3 linked regions of the Arabidopsis thaliana genome follow. The protein of the gene in region 1 interacts with the protein of each later gene in a biochemical or structural test. Each region holds a gene or a part of one and is shown on either strand. Other genes may lie near its edges.

Evidence for each region. Proteins that work in one complex are often made in the same cells at the same time.
Region 2: the proteins of TOC64-III (region 1) and HSP90.1 form a complex in vitro, tested with the Arabidopsis thaliana proteins (one study listed by BioGRID).
Region 3: the proteins of TOC64-III (region 1) and HSP81-2 form a complex in vitro, tested with the Arabidopsis thaliana proteins (2 studies listed by BioGRID).

The regions. Positions count from the first base shown.
Region 1 is NC_003074.8:6,145,584-6,154,109, reverse strand, and holds TOC64-III (translocon at the outer membrane of chloroplasts 64-III), read right to left. Parts: upstream 6,205-8,526; 5' UTR 6,081-6,204; coding exon 5,878-6,080; intron 5,328-5,877; coding exon 5,175-5,327; intron 5,042-5,174; coding exon 4,917-5,041; intron 4,564-4,916; coding exon 4,438-4,563; intron 4,251-4,437; coding exon 4,068-4,250; intron 3,985-4,067; coding exon 3,840-3,984; intron 3,761-3,839; coding exon 3,592-3,760; intron 3,488-3,591; coding exon 3,353-3,487; intron 3,210-3,352; coding exon 3,009-3,209; intron 2,908-3,008; coding exon 2,780-2,907; intron 2,694-2,779; coding exon 2,642-2,693; coding exon of another isoform or gene 2,579-2,641; exon of another isoform or gene 2,541-2,578; coding exon 2,471-2,540; intron 2,396-2,470; coding exon 2,316-2,395; 3' UTR 2,028-2,315; downstream 1-2,027. Other genes in the region: C2 (Calcium-dependent lipid-binding (CaLB domain) family protein), read right to left, coding at 995-1,285, 1,367-1,462, 1,547-1,693; AT3G17950 (uncharacterized protein), read right to left, coding at 6,941-7,507, 7,731-7,799. UniProt on the Arabidopsis thaliana protein: Chaperone receptor mediating Hsp90-dependent protein targeting to chloroplasts. Bi-functional preprotein receptor acting on both sides of the membrane. Not essential for an efficient import of pre-proteins into plastids.
Region 2 is NC_003076.8:21,349,615-21,356,524, reverse strand, and holds HSP90.1 (heat shock-like protein), read right to left. Parts: upstream 3,969-6,910; coding exon 3,846-3,968; intron 3,531-3,845; coding exon 3,389-3,530; intron 3,304-3,388; coding exon 3,023-3,303; intron 2,935-3,022; coding exon 1,378-2,934; downstream 1-1,377. Other genes in the region: AT5G52650 (RNA binding Plectin/S10 domain-containing protein), read left to right, coding at 1-165, 260-392, 670-744; MEF1 (mitochondrial RNAediting factor 1), read right to left, coding at 4,384-6,150; AT5G52620 (F-box associated ubiquitination effector family protein), read left to right, coding at 6,844-6,910. UniProt on the Arabidopsis thaliana protein: Functions as a holding molecular chaperone (holdase) which stabilizes unfolding protein intermediates and rapidly releases them in an active form once stress has abated.
Region 3 is NC_003076.8:22,683,604-22,690,848, reverse strand, and holds HSP81-2 (heat shock protein 81-2), read right to left. Parts: upstream 4,018-7,245; 5' UTR 3,927-4,017; coding exon 3,717-3,926; intron 3,499-3,716; coding exon 3,357-3,498; intron 3,251-3,356; coding exon 1,416-3,250; 3' UTR 1,378-1,415; downstream 1-1,377. Other genes in the region: AT5G56020 (Got1/Sft2-like vescicle transport protein family), read right to left, coding at 4,643-4,753, 5,230-5,334, 5,443-5,701, 6,046-6,263; HSP81-3 (heat shock protein 81-3), read right to left, coding at 6,938-7,245. UniProt on the Arabidopsis thaliana protein: Molecular chaperone. Involved in RPM1-mediated resistance. Component of the RPM1/RAR1/SGT1 complex. May stabilize RPM1 and protect it from SGT1-mediated degradation. Associates with RAR1 which may function as co-chaperone. Possesses ATPase activity.

The sequences.
Region 1 (8,526 bases):
TATGTTGACAGATTTTATTCTACAAATAAATCGTTGTTTTGGTAAAAAAATGTTGACTACTTTGGGGAGTTGGTGGAAGAGGAATCTCTAGATCGCTCATTGGGGAACGAGATTTGGGTCCCTTGGGATCTATCAAACTTTATACATAATTTAGAATATATCTCAATACTATCATACTACAGTCGAATCTTTTACTTTATTAAATAGAGAAAAATATCACATACTAGTACTACACTTCACTCTTGTCACGGTCGTTTGACACATTATTGTAAAGTCGCCGTGCCACTCATAGTAAAGGACAATTATGGCTCACGTGTTTTGTCGTTATAAAACCATGGTGCTTCACTCATTAGTGTACATCTGGATTCTCTTCACCTACCATCCCTTTTGTGGCTTCTGGCTTTTTCCCTTCGATATTTTATTCTTTCTTCATCATTATTCTTTATGACCTTAATTAGCGCTAATGTACAAGTAAATCTTGTTCACAAAAATTACATAAGTTGTGCTTCAGTAACGTACACATAAAACCTCCAATGTCAATGGTTTAAAAAAGGCCTATCGATGTCGATGGTAAATGGTAATATGCTGGTCTTTTTTTCACTTTTTACCTATAAACATTAGTACATCACATGTGTTAAAACAATCTACCATTCATAAGTATATGGAACGATAATTAAATAAATAAAATATCTGTATTAGTTGTTCGTGTAAATGCCTTATTTAAGGCATAGCTAGCCCAAATATACATACACATCAACAATACACCACATTTACATATCCACCACCACGACTCGACTTGGACTCGATCACCATATGGGAACAAAACTTCCCTCAACGTTCTTAATCCTTATATTTCCATGGATTAATACGTGTTTCTAGTTCACTATATCCTTCAAGATTGAAATTACTTGTTTTTTTCCATGCTGTTACTTGGTTTAGTTCAATTTGAAAGAAAACAACTCAAAGTAACGGTAAATAAGAAAAGAAAAAAGATTCATAGACCCTTGGAGCCAGGGAGGTCAATCCATTGAAGCTGAGCCTCGACCTCTCCGCATTCCACATGTCGCAATCTGAGAACGAGATCCTGGACGAGCTTGCCGTCGACCCAGGTGACACGTGACTCCTCGGCTAGACAGTTACGACGACTTGGCTTAACCGTGGTCACAATGGTTCCACTAGGAAGTCCATCGAGTTGCATCCTCAAAGCCTCAATATAGGGCTTTATCTCGAACTCAGCATCGCCCATCTTGTCGTCTTTGCTAAACATGTCGTGATCATACACCGTCTACATATAACATTATAGTTTTATCAATATAAACATCTTATGATAAGGAAATTAATGTATGTTTTAGTAAGTAAAAAGTACCAAGAGGACGGTAAGATTGGAGTCTGTGACGGAGAGAGTCAAATCTTCATTCCATTCTGGATTAACATCTTTGTTAATGACACGAGTCTTCAATTTCTGTAAGATTTAATATGATAATTTGAGAATGTTTTTGATGTAATGAAATTGCATGTGAAGTTGTAAAATGATGAATGGATTAACCTGTTTGCCCATCTTGACGACGACGTAAGGATCGCTGCTACTGATGTCACGGACGGCTAAATTGACGCCACGTTTGATACGGATTCTAAGGAGGCCCAAGAGATCGTCCATTAGTGAGCTTGTCCTCGCCGGACACGCCGTTGTCATTTCCTTTATTAATGTTCCTGATTATTTCTTCCTTACTCACTTTCTACAACCCTTTTTTTTTGTTAACGCTGCAACCAACACACGTTTAATTCTCGGGGAAAAGCACAACCGAGATAAAGAAAAAAGGTTAAACGAACCAACTCACCCGTGAAGATAATTCAAAGGTCTCTTTAGTTTCTTTCGTCAGATTTCGTTCCGTTCAAACTATCATCGCTAAATATTAGGGCAGGTCTCTTTGGTTTCTACTCCTCTTTTTTTCTGTTTATTTTTTTTGAGTCGTGGGGAGGAGATAACGTGCGAGAAAAGAAAATGATAAAGACAAGATAGTTAAAGACATGACCTTATTTTTGACGCTACGCTGACTAGAAGTCGACCGGGAATGCCGGTATCCGGTGTTTAAGATTAACATTACTTTTTGATATCCAATTTTAGAGAACGTTTAAAATAAACATCGGATATTATAATTTTCCATTCTCGGCGGACTTGCAAAAGGTATCTCTAGATAAAATGCCTAAATATCAGACGCAAAAGACAAGTGTTGACAAAATTGGCCTATACTCTTGGACAAATTCTAAGGAACAAACGTTTTCTCAATGATCGGTGAGGTACGGACAAAAGAAGCTCACTGGAATTTTCTCAGTCTCTCTGCTGAGAGAGACGCTCGTTTGTTGTTTGGTTCCAGCACAAGTGCGTATCTGAAATCTGCAGAGTTTATGTTATATTCTGCCAGATTCTACAAGGCGAAAAAACAATCAGATTATGTTCTTTAAAGCTTACCTTCTATGGCTCCCTTGCAATCGCCTAACATTTCTCTTGCGGTTCCTCTTCGTAAATAGGCTTTAACATTCTGAAAGAAATCAAAAACGATCTTTGTGTTGTGTGTTCTTACAAAGTAAAGAGTGTTTTTTTTTCAAGAGAAACCTGTTTCTGTGTTTTAATGAAAGTTACCTTCTTGTCGAGGGTGATGGCTTTGGTACAGTCTTCTTCGGCTTGAAGAAAGCTGTATGTAAATGATTTGTCAAGGCAATGCCACATAGAAAGATTTGCTCACTAAAAAGTATTTTTAAGGATCTGAGAAACATTTACCCTCCAAGTTCAAGATATGCAGCAGCTCTGTTACTGTAATAGGTAGCATTGTTGTCACTTAGCTTTATAGCTTCTGAGTATAGACCAATAGCTTTCTGCCATAGTTTCTCTTTGAACGCTTGGTTACCCTGGTTTACATAATCACGGGACACAAAGATATAATAACCACATTAGATTATGGATGATAATGCCATTAAGAAAATGAGACATGCAATGGATATTAATTGACCTTCTCTTTGGCAATCTCGGCTGACTCTTCTTTGGTGATAGCCTTTTTAGAAGATTTGGGATCGGTAACAATACTCGAGTACTCTTGCAAAGATGGATACATTGTCTGCACTGTATCTAGTAAAAAGCGGTCACCACCGTGTCTTCCTATGAAAGAAACTGAAATAGGGCATTTCTCATGATGTCCGAGTGGCACAGTCACCTGAATCATCAGCACGATAAATGTAAGACACATATACTGTGGATTGGTTTTGCTAACACTGACTGGTCAGTGGTTGCTTTTAACATGTGTGAGGGGAACTTTACTAGCATGGCAGGTGAGAGAGAGAAAGAGAGAGATTTAACCTGACAACATCCTGATATGCTAGCAATGCTAAGCAGACTTGAAGCTCGGTTTTGATAGTCTTCAGATGTTATCTCCTTGCTACCAAGTTTTGGAGGAACAGCTGGCAATGTTGGAATTACCAGAATGCCATCATCCTTGATACATAACGTTACAGAGTTGGGAACCATTAGAGATTAGTCAAGAGACATATAAACTAACTCGCTCAAGTTGTGGACATGTCATGGAAGAGCAGGAATACCTTGAGAAGTGAACCAATAGCCACTCGAGTCTCGTTTCTGATAGCATTCAGGTTCTCAGTCTCTTCATTGGTTAGTTCTGGGTTCTCACACACTTGTGATAAAATCACAGGATCAATGGCTGGCTTCACTGTGTTGATCCAATCCCCATGATTTTGAAGGAACTCGTGCCTACAATGCCAATATTGTTATAGAGTGTTCAAAACTAAGATATTTTCATCCTCTGTAGGTGAATAAACAATAGGCACACCTTTGAAGGAGCTGCATCACATTCGCCAGTAGTCTCGATGTTGAGACCTTCGTGTTAGCAATGGCTTTTGTCCTAGCGAACTCTTTCAAGCTAGGAACTTTAGTTTCAAAATAGGTCTCCAAGTTCTGATGCTTTAGCAATTGTCCTAAATATAAAACAAGATAATGCTATTATAATCAGAATTTCTAACAGAGACTGGAGGATCTTCAGGGAGAGTAAAGGGCATACTTCCAAAAAGCTTTTCAGCTGATTTGGTCACCACCTGGGTAATCCGATCCACAGGGATCTTTAACAGCTGAAAACAGTCATCAGCTAGTATGATTTGCCTTGGATTCCGTTGAGTGGCAAATGGAAGTTGCAAGAGTACATGGCCAACACGACGTAGGGTGTTTGGATCGCGGGCAAACCATCCTGAAGCCAAAATCTATTGATCAGAATCAACGTAATGCTCATTTAATGGTCCTAAATATAAATTAGTCATACGAACAAAGGCATCTAAATCTTGCAATGTGATTATACAACAATTGAAACCTAGCCTATATAAGATCCAAATCATTCCACCACAAACAGTATAATTCAAAGATTTATATATCCATACCAACAGAGTCAAGACTTGAAGATACTGGTATGATTCCGGTGTTTGAAATAGCCCCATAAGAAGATTTGAATCCAAGAACGCCACAGTATCCAGCAGGCACTCTTACCCCGCCAACTGTGTCGATGCCTGCAAAGATGCAAGTAATCAAAACTATACTCTGAAAACAATTGAAACCGAACCAACCAGTAGACAGTTGAAATTTTAGATACTGATAGGAGGAGCCAATGACAGACTACCATATAAATTATAAATCCGCATGGAACTATCTTACCATATAGCCATAAGAGTCTAAATCAAGCAATTCTATTAGATGCCAAATAAGTTTCTGCAATATAAATAAATTATCAATCGTTTCAGAAATTTTCTAAGGAAGATTATTGACCATGTTTTGAAAGTTTATGCAATGTTTTGTTTCTCAAAGATACGGTTATCTCATACCAAATTGTCCAAACAAGGAAAAAAGTAGCTACTGAACTCACCTAGAGCAAAATCCACAGCATTTGTTGCTACGGCTACAGCAGCTCCACTGCAAGCGCCACCAGGAATACGAGTAGGAGCTGCAGGATTTGTAGGTGAATCGTAATGCTTGTTTTCTCCACTAATACTGAAGAAAATGAAAACAGCCAAACAAAGGAATTAATATACTAACATCCTGATAAAATAAAAATTTCAACACTGGAATCACAATCTGAATCCTGATACAGGTAACAATTTAACATTATGAAACAGAGACAAACCTAAACGCAAACTCATCAACTACAGTTTTTCCAACACAAGTGGCTCCACCTTCAACGAGAGTTGAAACCACAGGAGATGTTGACGAAGCAGCTTCATGGGTCCTGACCCAGTCTGGATGACCAAATCCAGTCACATACCCTGTAATATCGAATCTGGAAAACAAATGAAAAGGAAAGAAAGAGTAAATTAGCTTTTCAAGAACTTCAAAAGTCAAAAGATCATAGAAGAGAATGAGAGATATACACAGATTAGATAAATAGTCAATCAACATGTTGAGACAGTTATAAGTAGGACTCCATGAATAAGTCGAGGTCAAACTTGGTGACGAATCTAAAACATACAAACACCTAGCAACAGAGATCAAACAGTAGAGCCTTCCAATGAACAGATTCAACAAGTATCGATTTGAAATGAGTTTGACAAAACTAGCAGACACACACACACACACACACACATTTGAATCTACAACAAACACAATTTTCAGTGAAACGGCTCAAAATCAATCAACCATACTTTCGAAAGCTCAGAATCAGACATGTAGTGCGCCGGAGAAGATTACGAGTCGAGTCAACGCAGATTCCAACATTTGTCAAACAAAATTTTGACTCTACCCAAGGAAAAAATCATTCAGCTAAACCCCCAAATATAGATATGATAAACATATGGGAGAAGAAAGGGGGAAACAAGTCAACGGAGACTCACACGTCGGAAACGGCAAAGGTTAGACCGGTGAGAGGATGAGGAGCTTTGGGAGGAGCAGGTTGCGGAGGGGGAAGAAGCATGAGTTTATCGATAAAAGCGCCGAAATCTTCACGGACGGTCTTCTTCAGCTTTTTGGTAAGCATAAGAATCCCAGCGAGACCTAAACCTAGAAGAACCCAGAGATTCGCAGCTTGAGACGCCATCGGTGACGTTTTTGTTCTAGCTGCTGCTGCTGCTGCTTAAGATAAGAGAGATAGACCCTAAGGAGAAGGACGCCAAAGAGTTTTTGTTTAGTGTGTTGCGTTCCCTTTGAGTTTTTATTCTTTTTCCTTCTTCCTTTTTTTAACATCACTCGAGGGTTTATTTTATTTTCGTTTTGTCAACAGTTTTTTATTCACGTTGTAAAACAAAAAATTAATTTTATTAATTGTTTCTTGTTTTTACAGTTTATTTTATTAATTCAATTGGTATAAAATATGGATACACATAACAAACATTTTGCCGTATTTTCGGTTTCTTGTGTGTGTCCACTTGTTCGATAATTTTGCTTCGTCGTTAGGAATCTTCTCCTCTTATGTTATGAGGATGATTTGTGGTTAATTGTTTTACTTTCAGAAATACTAGTGGAAAATTAACCACGAATGTGGCACACTCCTGGCCAGAATCATATTGTGTTTGCCTCAAAATCTGATTTGGTCAAATTATTGTCCAAAGACTGACTAGTATAAAGACGTATTGATGAAATAATTTGAAGCAAAAACTCAATATGATAGAACAACGTTTAGCATTTTAAATAAAAACTCTAATCAAGTGAACAACTCCATTTTACACCAAAAGCTGTGCATGTGTGCCATTCTATATGCTTATCTTTTACTATTGCCATTGTAATTAATCTCCTTCATAATTCTCCTTATCAATCATTATTATTTCTCAAATAATTACTTTGACAATGACTACATTCAACATGTTATATTTTCCACAAACAATGATTCCGATTCGACGAACAAAATACAAAAATTTAAGTCTAAATACAAATAAAAGACACACACATGAACCGACGTATTCATCCTCCACCACCGCTGCATATACCGGTTAAAGATACCGGAAATCTACAAAGGGACGTGGCTACCGGCGTTCCTTCTCCGGTAACCACTTCAGCTGAAGCCGGAGGAAGAACCCTTCCGTCAGCGAACAATGCCCGCTCCCCCATCACCGGCTGCTGATCTTGGTACCGTGCCACCACCGCATCCTCTAGCTCTGCCTCGGCGGAGTTGTAAACGGCTTCATCTCCAAACCTCCGTTCCACCTCTAGATACTCCCCGAGCGATGACCGCTTTGAATCTCCTGTTCCACGGTGGATTCCATTTCCGGCGGCGTCGTCATCGTCATCTCGGCAAAACCGCCACCATTTACGGCGGCGATGCGGCTCAGGCTCAGCCGAATTTGAAGGAGGACGCTTTCTCTGGTGGTTGCGTCTTGCATTGGAGCTAGAAGCTCGTGAGATTGCGACGGAAGGTGACACGTGGCGGCGTGAAGAGGCTCTAAATGGCATCGGCATAGTTGCAGTGAAACTAAATCCCATAAGCGTTCCAAGTGTGATGCTTCTGTCATGGAAGAACGATCCTGTTGACTAAATCCTCACATCACCAATAAAAAAACCAAATCAAGTTCTAACAAGTACATATATATGTTTCTGGGCAGTTCTGAAAACATAACCTTTGGAACTTTAAACTAGTTTTCTAATTAAAGGTTGATACTTTATAGCATAAAGCTTTATGGGTAGCTTAGAAAACACATGAAGAGCTTGATCTTTAATTAGATTATCTATTAAGTATAAGATTGCAGGAACTGACCTCAGTATCAAGATCGGAGGAAGAGACGGAGGAGATAGTTGGAGAAGATGGGACATGAGGATCTTGCATCTCTGTAATCGCTGGTTTCAAAGGGTTTGAAGATGTGGGAGATTGTGTCACTGAATTAAAACGAACGACGTCGGATTAGGGAGTTTCTTGATGAGAGGAAAAGGAAAGTGTTTTTGTGGATGGATAGGTGAAGAAGAAGAAAGTGACAAATGATTTGCTTTTTGAAATGATTGTGCTTCTTTAAGCTAAAGTCCTCTTGGCCATCTGTTACACTATTTCTTTCCATGTCTCAGAGAGCTTTGATATTTTTGATAAATTTGATTTAATTGTTTCTAGTTATGGGAATAATCAAAATCCTTTACAGAGACATTTTTTTTGTAAACTTTGGGTAAAAGCTGAGACATGTTGGATGGTAGCAAATTAAAATTTACGAAAAGAGGATAAATTACAACAAAGTAAGCTTTTATAGGTACTATTGATTTTTTCATAGGATACCTGAAAAAGGGTAGAGAAACTACATCTAAATTCACGCGAATACTCTGTTACGATCATGTATAGAGTTTTTTTTTGGGGTCAAACTGAATATGTTTAGAGTATATTTTATTTATTTTCTTGTTATCTGATGATATCTTTGTCTTTCTCTTATTGTCAAAAGCATATAATCCGACTTATCAAATTTTTTATTTTATAACTGACTAATCAAATATTTTTTTACTTAAAATATTATTGATAATTAGAAAATTAGATCCAAATTCTACATTTGTTCTTTTCTCTAATCTCTATAGTT
Region 2 (6,910 bases), on another chromosome or scaffold:
GGAGACATTTGCCTGGATGCATTACTATTGGTTTTTGACCAATGAAGGGATCGAGTTCTTGAGAACTTATCTTAATCTTCCATCTGATGTTGTTCCTGCTACTTTGAAGAAGTCAGCTAAGCCTGGTGGTCGTCCATTTGGTGGCCCACCTGGTGATCGCTCAAGGTGATTAACTCTTTGCTTAACCCATTTCATGTCTGGCAAAAACTTTTTTTTTTTTTAATTTGTTTGACATGGTTTGGGTTTCTTTGTATTTCAGAGGACCTCGCCATGAAGGAGGAGACCGTCCCAGGTTTGGTGACCGTGATGGGTACCGTGCAGGTCCTCGAGCTGGTGGTGAGTTTGGAGGTGAAAAGGGTGGAGCTCCCGCAGATTACCAGCCATCTTTCCAAGTAAATTCTCACTGACCATACCTTCTATTTACTTCTCTATCTCACCAACGTCATATAATGTGCTACTCTTGAAGTCTTTATCATAGAGCTCCTGAACCTGAGAAACCATGAACATATTTAGTCTCTCTTTATCACTTTAGTTACAAGGAACATAAATCTTTTACTTTAGCTGTGAAGTGTTTCAAAGTCTATAGTTATATAATTGCCTTGTGATTTGATTTACCCGCCTTCTCTTTGTTTGGTTGCCATTGTTCTAACATCCTTTCTTGTTTATCAGGGAAGTGGCCGTGGTTTTGGCCGTGGTGCTGGTGGCTACAGCGCAGCTGCACCATCTGGTTCAGGTTTGCCTTGAAAAAGAAATGTCTTTAGGTGACAGTAAGACCATGGAGGAGTTTTCAGCTTTAAATTTTGCTTTTGTAATTCAGATTCCGGAATCCTTCATAATCTCTATCTGAGTTTAGTTTTGTTGTTGAATCAAACATCCGATTTAAAGTTATGTTCATTCCATCTTCTCTCCCCTTTTCGAGCATGCGAGAATATGATTCCCCCTATTGAACAAATCAATCAACCTTTAAGCGATAACAAATTGGTGTTGTGAAAATTATTAACTTCTTGATCTCGTTTTGTCAGATCTAAAATTACTATAGCCAAGCTACCTTTCACGTCAAGTTGTCACTCCTATCTATTCCAGTGATCTTAGGAAGTCTATCTTTTGGAAGTCAAGTTTTACTCTAGGGAACCAAAAGATTTGTTCAGAAACAAGAAAAGTTCCTTAGCTGAATAACAAAAACTTGAATCAGTATTAGACAGACCCACCACACGATATAACAGACCTGACACAAACCCAACCCTAGAAGTAGTCACAATGTTCAAGTAACTCTAAAGATATAAAAAAAAAGACAAAGACATTTTGGAAAATCTTAAAACTCAGAACAACTCGACATATTAGAAGTTTTCAGAACCATAAGAGCAATTTCTTCATCTCTTAGTCGACTTCCTCCATCTTGCTCTCTTCAGCAGCGTCCTCCTCCAACTCAGGCATATCACCATCTTCCTCAACGTTCTCATCCTCATCAATACTCAGACCCAACTTCAACATCCTGTGAATCCTAGCAGCAAAAGTGTTCGGTTCATCAAGACTGAATCCAGACGTCAACAAAGCTGTCTCATACAGCAACATGACAAGATCTTTAACAGACTTGTCATTCTTGTCTGCTTCAGCTCTCTTCCTGAGCTCCTCCATTATACCGTTGTCGGGGTTGATCTCCATTGTTTTCTTGCTCGACATGTAACCACTCATGCTGCTATCTCTCAACGCCTGTGCCTTCATAATCCTCTCCATATTTGCAGTCCATCCATATTCACCAGTTACTAGACAGCAGGGAGAGTCCACAATCCTGTCTGAGACCACAACCTTCTCAACCTTGTCCCCGAGAATTTCCTTAATCGTCTTGCACAGATTCTCGAAGGACTTCTTCTTCTCTTCCCTCTTTTTCTTCTCTTCTTCGGTCTCATCTTCAAGTTTGAGGCCTTCTTTAGTCGCAGAAACAAGTTTCTTACCGTCATACTCCTTCAATTGTCCAACAGCGTATTCGTCAATCGCATCCACCATGTAAAGTACCTCGTATCCTCTCTTCTTCAGCCTCTCCAAGAAGGGAGAATTCTCCACCGCCTTTTTGCTTTCACCAGTGATGTAGAAAATGTCCTTTTGACCTTCCTTCATCCTTGTGACGTAATCTTTGAAGCTCGTCATTTCATCACCACTCTTTGTGGAGTGGTACCGTAGAAGATCAGCAATCTTTCCCCTGTTCTGACTGTCTTCATGGATACCCAATTTGAGATTCTTGGAGAAAGCCTCATAGAATTTGGTGTAGTCCTCTTTGTTCTCAGCAATCTCGTTGAACATCTCAATGCACTTCTTCACTAGATTCTTCCTGATCACCTTAAGGATCTTGTTCTGTTGAAGCGTCTCACGAGAGATGTTGAGTGGCAAGTCATCAGAGTCAACAACACCTTTCACAAAGCTGAGGTACTCTGGGATTAGCTCTTCACAGTTGTCCATAATGAACACCCTCCTGACATAAAGCTTGATGTTGTTCAACTTCTTCCTCGTGTCAAAGAGATCAAACGGAGCTCTCTTTGGTACAAAGAGAATGGCCTTGAATTCTAGCTGACCCTCCACTGAGAAGTGTTTCACGGCTAAGTGATCTTCCCAGTCATTGGTCAAGCTCTTGTAGAAAGCAGCATACTCTTCCTTAGTGATCTCTTCTGGCTTCCTCAACCAGATCGGTTTCTGCTTGTTGATGAGTTCCCACTCGTGAGAGACTTCCTTGATTTTCTTCTTCTTTTTACCATCTTTCTCCTTCTCCTCATCAACTTCTTCAACCTCACCTTCGTTTTCTTTCTTTGGTTCATCTTCATCCTCATCGTCACTGATCTCCTTCTCGGTGGTTTTCTCGGTCCAAAGGTAGATAGGGTAACTGATGAACTCAGAGTGCTTCTTCACCAAGTCTTTGAGTCTCCTCTCCTCCAAGTATTCAAGCTGCATGAATAAACACACTTGTAAGAACACAGAAAACACCAAAAGAAAAGAAACAATCCCCAAAACACTCAAAGCTACGATTCCTTACCTGATCGTCCTTAAGGAAGAGGGTGATCTTAGTTCCTCTACCAAGTGGTTCCCCATCCACATCCCTAGTGACAGTGAAGGAACCACCAGCTTGAGACTCCCAAACGTATTGTTCATCATCATTGTGCTTTGTAGTGACAACAACCTTCTCTGCAACAAGATAAGCAGAGTAGAAACCAACACCAAATTGTCCTATCATGCTTACATCAGCTCCAGCTTGAAGCGCCTCCATAAACTCTTTTGTTCCAGACCTCGCAATGGTTCCCAAGTTGTTCACCAAATCTGAAAAAATAATAGAGAGTCATAACCACAGCACATACACTAAAACATCTCACCAACGAGAGATTATTAGGCATTGATTCGTTACCTGCTTTGGTCATGCCAATACCACTGTCAATAATTGAGAGCGTCTTATTAGACTTGTCAGGAACCAATCTAATGAAGAGTTCAGGCTGTCCATCGAGCTTGCTCTTATCCGTTAAGCTCTCAAATCGGATCTTGTCAAGAGCCTACAAAACCATTCATATAAACAAAGATAATCAGAAGCTTTCCTCAATCCTCTAGGGTAAATCAAAGACTACATCGAAGCAAGAACCGTTCTATATATGTAACTACAACACATGAAGATCGAGCACAAGCTAAGAATTCTAAACTTAACGTGATGCACAAGCCAAATCACGATTTATTTGAATAAGCAATCACAACGCTAAACCTACGAATCCAACGCTATCAACGAATCCAGGAATTAAAGAACAAACAACATGCAAGAAAATAGGAAGCGGACGAGTCACACCGAGCAGAGAGAGATTTGAAGGGAAACTTACATCAGAAGAGTTACTGATGAGCTCACGGAGGAAGATTTCTTTGTTGCTGTAGAACGTGTTGATGATCAAGCTAAGAAGCTGGTTAATCTCAGCTTGGAAAGCAAAAGTCTCTGCATCAGCCATCTGAACATCCGCCATCGCAACGAACTTTGATTCAACGCAAACGAGAAACGAAAGAGAATGCTAAGAGAAAATTTGGAACTTCGAGAGCGTTTCGAGAGATTTGTGATTGTTTTGTTGATTTATGAAGAAGAGAGGAAAAAACAAAGTGATTTTATAGAGGAGAAATAAAGTTCTAGTCTCTTCTTTTGAAATAAAGGAAAACCAGTGATTTCTGGATTGTTCTTTGAAAACGACGCCGTATTTCGATGAAATCAACCGTTTTTAGCTTTGTGAGCAAACGAATTCCAGAAAGTTCTTTTCGTTTCGAGACTCCACTTGTTTCAATTCCGAATAGGTCTGGCAAAGAAATTTCGCCGGTTCAGTGTGAACTGAATGAAATTATGGTTAAATATAAACCAACTCTCATTTGTCTTCTTCACCAATAGTCATTACAAGAACACTTGCCATCTTCAAACCGATGAAACCGATTATTATCTCTCACAATGATCACTCGTCTCGTACATACGGACATGAACTTGATCGCGTTATGGCAATCACCGCAAACACGCAGATTCTTCATTACTCGGATCGGTCTATCAGCTGGAAACGTGATCAGTCCAAAAGCAATAGCTAATCTCTCACTATGATACCTTATGGTTTGATTCTTCTCGTCACCATCCACTTCTCTCAGAACATAGCTTGTGTCTGCAATGTAACCCGCTTTCTCCATCTCTTCCCCTAACTCAGCCAGCTTCTCATATATCTCCTTGCTTTTCTCATGACGTCTTTCTCCAGCTGCAAATGTATGAACCTTGTTCCTTTCTTCAACCCAACTTAGCCCTGTTTCCTTCTTTTCCCCTCGGTCTCGAAGCAATTTTCTAGCTTTAGCTGCGTCTTCGAATCTACCATCGGCTGCATAAGCATTGGATAACGAAATGTGCATACCGGAACTCACTGGTCCTAATTCGAAGACCTTGTCTGCTGCAAATGCTGCAAGCTCTGTGTTCTTGTGGACTGTACAACTCGTTAATAAAGCTCCCCATACAGATTCCGTGGGATCAATCGGCATATTAGTGATAACTTCAAGTGCTTCTTGTAATCTACCAGCTCGTCCTAACATATCCACCAAGGAAGCGTAATGCTTATCCGTCGGCTCAATCCTCGATTCTTTCATCTGATCAAAGTAGTATCTCCCTTCATCAACTAGACCCGCGTGACTACAAGCATTGAGCACATTCAAAAAAGTTATGAAATTTGGTTTCATTCCAGAAAGCTTCATCCTTTTGAACAATTCAATAACCTTTTGAGTATGTGAATGTTGCGCATACGCCTTGAGCATAGCGTTCCAAATCCCGAGATTCTTCACAGGCACCTCGTTAAAAACTTGATAAGCTCCTTCAGGAACACCACACTTTGAATACAACGAGACTAAAGAACTTCCCACAAAGCTAGAAGAATCAAAGCTAGACTTAATACTCAATCCATGAATCTGTCTACCTAACTCAAGTAGAGTCGAATTTGCACAAACACTAATAACACTCGAAAACGAGTAATCATTAACAGCGAGATTCTCAAACAAAGCTTCTTTAAACAACCACAAAGCTTCCTCATTTTCACCCATTTGTGCATACCCATACATCATCCCACTCCAAGTAACAACATTTCTCTGAGGCATTTCGTCGAACATCTTCCTCGCATAAACAATTTCTCCACATTTCGCATACATATCAACCAAAGAACTCCCCACAAACACATCAGCATCATACCCAGTCTTCATCGATAGACAATGAACTGATCTACCAATATCACAACGACTCAAAATCGCACACGACTTTGTAGCTGATGGAAGAACATGATCATCAGGTCTAAGGTTTCCCGCCATCATTTTTTTAAGAAACTCGAGTGACATCCATGGAAGCTCGTTCTGGGCAAAACAAGAGATGATTGAACTCCAAGTCGTCGAACTTTTTTGTGGGCTATCTTCAAAAGCTCGACGAGAATCAAACGGAAGCTGTGATTTGGAGTAGAAATTAATGAGGTTGTTAGCGACGAGAGGGATAAGAGAAAGGCCTGATTTAACGACATAGCCATGAAGCTGAAGTCCTTTAATAGTTGATCTGGTTCGAGCTGAAGAAAGAAGAAGATCACAGATTTGATTGTAATTGTGACATGGAACGAAGAAAGCTGAAGAATTCAGAGCCATGGGGAAGAAGATGGTTGAACTCAGTGAGAAACCAGGTCTCTTATTGGGTAACGTTTCACAAGGCCCATTAAGTCGTTAGGCCCATTAGTGACTTTTAGTGCCATTGCCTTTGAAACCCTGAAGTGTCGCCTACGTAGTCTGGAACTGGAAACCAAAAGACACGATCTTTAAAAAACTCGATGGAAAGGGAAGACAACTCAGACACCAAGAATTATGACTTTGAAACTAGTTGTCTAAGCCTGATTAAATTAGAAAAACATAGAGAGCTTCTTCGTATGGGATTAGAAGAAAGCTCTTCGAAGCATAGACTGGAGAGCATATACGTGACTGAGTTTAATACTAGTTTCAAGATTCTTTGCATTGGTATGGCTAAGTTATATTGTGTCCACTGCGTTATAATTTTACCATCATTGCCCATTGTTAGTAACACCTTTAATGTTAGTTAAAACCAACTATGCATCCTATAAAAGATAGTTGGGGACATTAATACGTTACCTCCCCTAAAAGGCTAAAATAGATAGTTTCGTCCAGCCTTTTAGTTGCCTCTAACATGGCCCATGAATTCATTCGGCCCATTAGGTATGAATGAATTGCCTTTGAACCCTAGGTTGTCGTCTACGTTAAGTCTGGAACTGGAACTGGAACTGGAACTGGAACCAAAATCCAAAATACACGATCTTTGAAAAACGTACGATGGAAAGAGAAGGAAAATCAGATCCAATCCCGATTGATATCATTCTCGATATACTCTCGAGATTGT
Region 3 (7,245 bases), on another chromosome or scaffold:
TATAGAAAGATTAAAAATAAAATACACTAACTTGATGTGTCTTTAAAACTAACATTGCTGAGTGGAGAAGTTGGGCAATTGCAATCAATTAATCTAAAATATAATGAGATTAATGGGCCTTTGCTGTTTGTGGATCATAATATAAAATGGATGATATTACGTGTGATGAAAGGTGTAAATTAAAGGGTCAAATATTCTTCCGTATTTCCAGGACTCGGGTTTCTCGCTCACATTAGTTAAACTCTAATTAAAGTCTAAAAATAAAATAAAGTACATCAATAATTGTTTACATCAAATGCCTCAAATTAACTTTATATGAATTCTGAATGAGTATATTGCTAGTCTAAAATTTTCCCAAATATGAATACATGCTTGGGTATATATGATGCTTTAGAAAGTTCAGTTTAGCTAACTGTAAATTAGGTGAGTATAATCGTTAAATATTAGCTGAAATCATGGTAATCACTCAGTTTACTCCTATATACAAAATACTGAACAATAATAATTTGGTAAGAAAATAGGAAGGTGCCAAAAAAAAAAGAAAAAAAAAAGAGAGGAAAATACGACTATTGAAAAGAAATTACATAAGTTAATCAATAGGCTCCGTTGTCTTAACCTAACATAGCCTTTGCTTTTAAGTTTTAACTAAAGACTAAAGAGTTTCACTTGCACTAACGCCAAGTTCGTGGTATTATATAATAAGTCTCCACTAACGGTCAAATTTTGAGAGCAAAAGCAGTGTGGGGTTTCCCTTAATTAATTTTGATTACATTAATAAATTAAGGCTTTTTTTTTTTGGGACAAAATAATAAATTTAGGCTTAATCTTGCATTATTGGGTGATCTTTTGTATCAAAAAAGCCAGTCTCTAATATTGACGAGTCTTTTTGACTGATGGGTCGATTTTAAGGCCCAAAGTATTCAACAACGGACATTTTGGGCCCATCTAAAAATTTGATTGACCATTTGTTTGCACTTTGCAGCAAGAGATTGGCAATTGGCAGCGTAGTTTTTTTTTTTTTTAGTGAAAACATTTCAATTTAACTGTGGCAACTTTTCTAATTCGGATGCAATATAATTCACAGCAAGATATGTATGCCAGAAGATATGATCTCTGTGTTATTCTATTTTCTTATAATTTGTTATTCTAAATTCTAATTAGGAAGATATAATCATAACTAGGTTACTACTAATACCCTGACAAAATTCAGCTTGGATATGTAAGAATCAGTCTCTTGAGCATAATAGAATCTTTGTCATAAAACCGAGTTCAGAGAAATATCTTCACAACAATAAAACCATAGAAAAAATTCGTGAAGATAATCACCAAAATAACATAAGTTTTAACGAAAAGAAAAAAAGAAAACCATAGTCTTATAACACCGCTAATAATTTAGTCGACTTTTGTGTGATAAATTAGTCGACTTCCTCCATCTTGCTACCTTCGGCATCAGCATCGTCTTCAAGGGGAGGCATCTCAGCATCGGCTTCAACAGCATCATCGTCATCAATGCTCAGTCCAAGCTTCAGCATCCTGTGGATCCTGCTTCCGAAAGTGTTTGGCTCATCAAGGCTGAAACCAGAAGTGAGAAGAGCGGTCTCAAAGAGGAGAAGCACAAGGTCCTTCACAGACTTGTCGTTCTTGTCTGCGTCAGCTCGCTTTCTCAACTCATCCATGATGGAGTTCTCTGGATTAATCTCCATTGTCTTCTTACTCGACATGTAACCAGCCATGCTGCTGTCTCTCAAGGCTTGAGCTTTCATGATCCTCTCCATGTTTGCAGTCCAGCCGTATTCGCCGGTTACAAGACAGCACGGTGAGTCCACAACACGGTCAGAAACAATAACCTTCTCGACCTTGTCACCCAAAACGTCTTTGATCACTTTGCAGAGTCCTTCAAACTTCTCCTTGAGCTCTTCTTTCTTCTTCTTTTCATCTTCGGTCTCATCCAGTTTCAGACCTTCCTTGGTTGCAGAAACAAGTTTCTTTCCCTCGAATTCCTTAAGCTGACCAATAGCGTACTCATCAATCGCATCAACCATGTAGAGAACTTCAATACCTTTCTTCTTGAGCTTCTCAAGGAATGGAGAGTTCTCAACAGCCTTCTTGCTCTCACCAGTGATGTAGAAGATATCGTTCTGACCTTCCTTCATCCTTGTCACGTAGTCCTTGAGACTAGTCAATTCATCACCGCTCTTGGTTGAGTGGTAACGGAGCAACTCAGCAATCTTGGTTCTGTTTTGGGAGTCCTCATGGATACCGAGCTTCAGGTTCTTAGAGAAAGCCTCGTAGAACTTGTTGTAGTCTTCCTTGTTCTCAGCAATCTCAAAGAAGAGCTCAAGGCACTTCTTCACAAGGTTCTTGCGGATGACCTTGAGGATCTTGTTCTGCTGCAATGTCTCTCTCGAGATGTTGAGAGGAAGATCTTCAGAGTCGACAATACCTTTCACAAATCCGAGGTACTCAGGGATGATGTCTTCACAGTTGTCCATGATGAAGACACGACGGACATAGAGCTTGATGTTGTTGGGCTTCTTCTTAGTGTCAAAGAGATCAAAAGGAGCTCTCTTGGGAACAAAGAGGATAGCTTTGAACTCAAGCTGTCCTTCAACAGAGAAATGCTTCACAGCCAAATGCTCCTCCCAATCATTGCTGAGACTCTTGTAGAAAGCAGCGTACTCCTCCTTGTTGATCTCCTCTGGCTTCCTCATCCAGATAGGCTTCTGCTTGTTCACCAAATCCCACTCATGAGAAACCTCCTTAATCTTCTTCTTTTTCTTCTCCTCCTTTTCTTTCTCCTCATCAACTTCCTCAACCTTGCCTTCCTCATCCTTCTTCTCTTCCTCCTCTTCATCATCAGAGATCTCCTTCTCAATGGTCTTCTCAATCCAGAGAGAGATTGGGTAGCTGATGAACTCAGAGTGCTTCTTCACCAAATCCTTAAGCCTTCGCTCCTCAAGGTACTCCAACTGGTCTTCCTTGAGGTAAAGAACCATCTTTGTTCCTCTACCAAGAGTCTCCCCAGAGGTGTCTCTGGTCACAGTGAAAGATCCCCCGGCCTGAGACTCCCACACGTACTGCTCATCGTCATTGTGCTTGGTAGTAACAACAACCTTGTCAGCAACCAAGTAAGCAGAGTAGAAACCAACACCAAACTGACCAATCATGCTAACATCAGCTCCAGCAGCCAGTGCTTCCATGAATTCCTTGGTTCCAGATCTTGCAATTGTTCCAAGGTTGTTGACCAAATCTAATAGAAGAAGCACGAATTAGCCAACAAAACAAACACAGATGCAAGACTAACAAACAACAACAAAATCGAAACAAATTGATTTAGGATGAAATCAATTACGTACCAGCCTTGGTCATGCCAATACCACTATCAATAATGGTCAAGGTGTTGTTAGTCTTGTCGGGAATGATGTGAATGAAGAGCTCAGGCTGACCATCGAGCTTGCTCTTGTCCGTCAAGGACTCGAATCTAATCTTGTCCAAAGCCTGTTTTCACCAGAATAGAATCACAATCGTAAGCAAACAATACACATAATATGTATGCAAATCAACTATAAGCAATCGAAAACTTGGTAATCTAACAAGAAACTACTTAAATCCTTGGTATCAACACTAAACCTAAACAATAGATTTGTACACAAAAAGCTTCGCAACTTCAGTAAGTAACCAAAATTCTCCCAACGGAAAGAACACTAAACCCTAACCAAACCTAAATCTACAGATCCATCCGCCAAATCAATCAAACGAGATACACAAGTATACAATAAGGTAGAGAGAGATAGAGATCGTACATCAGAAGAGTTACTGATGAGTTCACGGAGGAAGATCTCCTTGTTAGAGTAAAAGGTATTGATGATGAGGGAAAGCAACTGGTTGATCTCAGCTTGGAAAGCAAAGGTTTCAGCGTCCGCCATTGTCGTAGATCGGAAAAAATCGAAGAACTAGGGTTTAAGAATGAAATTGAGAGAACAAAATTATCTTGAGAGCAGAGAGAAGTACTGATGCGGGATTTAGGAGAAGGATGTTATTATATATAGAGTGGTGTGGGAACCTCCATAAGGGTTTCTTTTCCTTTTTTTTTCTTTCTTCTAGATCGTTCTTTTTCCTTTATTTTGTTTGAACTAACTTGCAAGTTTTTCTAGATCCTTCTCCAAGCAGTGATGTTTTTGACTGATGGGGGCCATTTTAAGGCCCAACGTATCCAATAACAGACATTTTGGGCCCAACTAAAAAAGATTTGATTGACCACTTGTCTGCAATTTGCAGTAAGAGATGTATGCCACATTGCCAGTGTAGTAAACTCAGTGAAAACATACGTGTAATAACTTTCTTAATTCTGATGTAATAATTCACAGTAAGACATTGAAGCTAACGACTTACCCTAGATTAGAGAATGTATCCACCAAGCAACTCTTCAAGTTCCATACCTCATCCAGTGGCTAGTGATTTGAAGTTTTGAACCAATTTAGCAGAAAGTATCAATATAGGAAATTTATAACAAAACTGTCTTTGAGCCATTGGACCAACATATTTTACCAGATTTGTCATTTAACCACTGTTGAAGATCTTTCATCTTTCTTTATACACGAGAGAATCAAGTTATTTTCTTTGCATAGGTCAAAGCGAAAGCTCATCTCCCAAACATTCGGAAGACAGAGGAGGTAAGAGTAGAACTGAGGAACTTCATTCCCGATGATCCACCAGGGAAATATGATATACAGTAGTACGCCAGTGCAATAACCTATGGATTCACAGAGAACAGAGACCAGGTTTTTTATGAGATTACTATACTTACAGAATGTGCAGATACGTGACTAATCTTTAAACCGACATGAAGGATATGATTTAGTGAGTTCTTAAAGTATATATTCCATATCGATAACGGGTGAGTAATAATATATCAAAGCTGTTTCTGTCGCAAGTAAGTGCATTTGCAAAAACAAGCCAAGAGACCAACCAAAGATATGGCGTTCAAGGCTTCTTCATAATTCATACTAACCCAACTTGTATTTTAAAACAGCAATAAGAAAGTCTACATGTTTTTTACTAAACACATTATGTTTCGACGAGGCAAGAGCTTACTAGATGAAACATGCAGGGTAAAAAAGAACTTCATAGGTAAGATTTGTGAAATGGGGAAGAGGAAAATTTTAACATATGAAAAACAGAGGATATAAACACCAACAAGAGTCGGGAAGGAAGATGAAATTTAAGTACCTGTAATGCAGAGAAAATCACAGAGAGAATGTAGCTATGGAGCACCATCGAGACATATATGGTGCCAACCATGGTGGCAATGAAACCTAAAGTTAGTGGAAGCCTCTGGAGAAGCCAGCAAACAAGAAATTAAAATTCCAAAGAGAAAAATGTAAACGAAATACAGCAGATATAAGAAGCTGCACAACACAAGGTTTTGTTATTAGTTATTACCTCTGCCGATGACATGTGAGCGAGTTGATTTTGCGGGCCACGAAGAGCGAAGAAAGATCCGATGATAAATCCACATCCAAGGGTAAAACAAATTGCAAACTTCTGTGGCATAAGCACCATGACTGGAAGAAACATGGTGAAGGCAATGAAGATGAAGAATACACCACTTGCTAGAAGTAAACCGAAATACATCAAAGCTTTTCCTGAAGGCATACTACTTGTTGCAGACTGCAGGTTATCTCTAACTCCTTTCGAAACACTGTTAACAATCCAGATTTGAGTACAACAAAATTCAAAATCAAAAAGTTAGTAACACTTCAAGAAAAAGATATGCTTAAGACTCTTAATCAATTCTAAGTCATTGAGAGAAGACACTAATCAAAATCATTCACTAACAATAGCTTCAAACCCTGAGAATTTGTAAATCTGATCAACGAATCTGGCAAAGCTTAAACTATATGGTTAATCACAATTTCTCAGATTCCAGATTTAATTTACACCAATCCAATCCTCAATAGCAGGCGAAAACGCCTAATTTCTCAGATACGGTCACGATCAATCGTTAAACCCCTAAAGATTAAGAGAAAGAGATGGATGGATTACACATTAAAGGTGCCGGAAACAGTGTCGTTGGCAGATCTAACGGCGGATTCGATATCGAAGCCTAAAGTTCCGGTGTCTTCTTCAAAATCTCTCGATGCTGCGTAAGAATTCCAATCAGCTAGCAGAGACGTTCCTCCTGTTTGCAGCGGTTGCTGCTGCTGATCTCCGCTGCTACTAGTGCCGCTCATCGGAAACCATCCTTTGGCCATTTTCTCCATTTCGTTGGGAATTTTTGGAGCTGAGAAATCAAAATATAGCTGAATACCGACGATCAGTGGTTTACGTCGGAGCTAAGGAAATCGGCAGACGTCAAATCGAGCGTTGATGAAGATTCTGTCAAGGGACCGTCGTCTTAAACGGCAGTGTTATTTTGCGTTGCACTACTCATATTCTAATCGTAAAAGTTATTTAAAAAAATAATAATAACCTTTAAAACTGACCAAAAAATTGTTACACAAATTATCCTTTTTAATCAAAGTAGTAACAACATTTGTGCAGAAAATTAACGCTAAGTCAAACAGTAACAACAGTATTATGTCGAACAATAAATTATTTATTATTGTAAAGAATATGTAAGCTGTGTTGTCTGAGATGCTTAACAATATGATTTGGAGCTGCTTCATGTATTTTATTAGCCATATTAGTCATACTAATAACTTAGTTATAGGCTACATAACCAAAATAAGCTTGGATTTGCAAGATTGTGCATAAGAGAACCTTTGTCATCAAACCGAATTCAGAGAAAAAATCTTCACGAAAACAAGCGATAGAAGAAATAAACTCCAGAAAATAGTTCCAAAATATTAGTTCAAACGAAAACATAAAAAAAAAAGATAAAAAGATAACCAATGTCTCAACACCCCTAATGATTAAGTCGACTGTGTGTGATAATTTAGTCAACTTCCTCCATCTTGCTACCTTCAGCATCGGCATCATCTTCAAGTGGAGGCATGTCAGCATCGGCTTCAACAACATCATCGTCATCAATGCTCAATCCAAGCTTCAACATCCTGTGAATCCTGCTCCCGAAAGTGTTGGGCTCATCGAGGCTGAAACCAGAAGTGAGAAGAGCGGTCTCAAAGAGAAGAAGTACAAGGTCCTTCACAGACTTGTCGTTCTTGTCTGCATCAGCTCTCTTTCTCAGCTCATCCATGATGGAGTTCTCTGGGTTAATCTCCATTGTCTTCTTGCTCGACATGT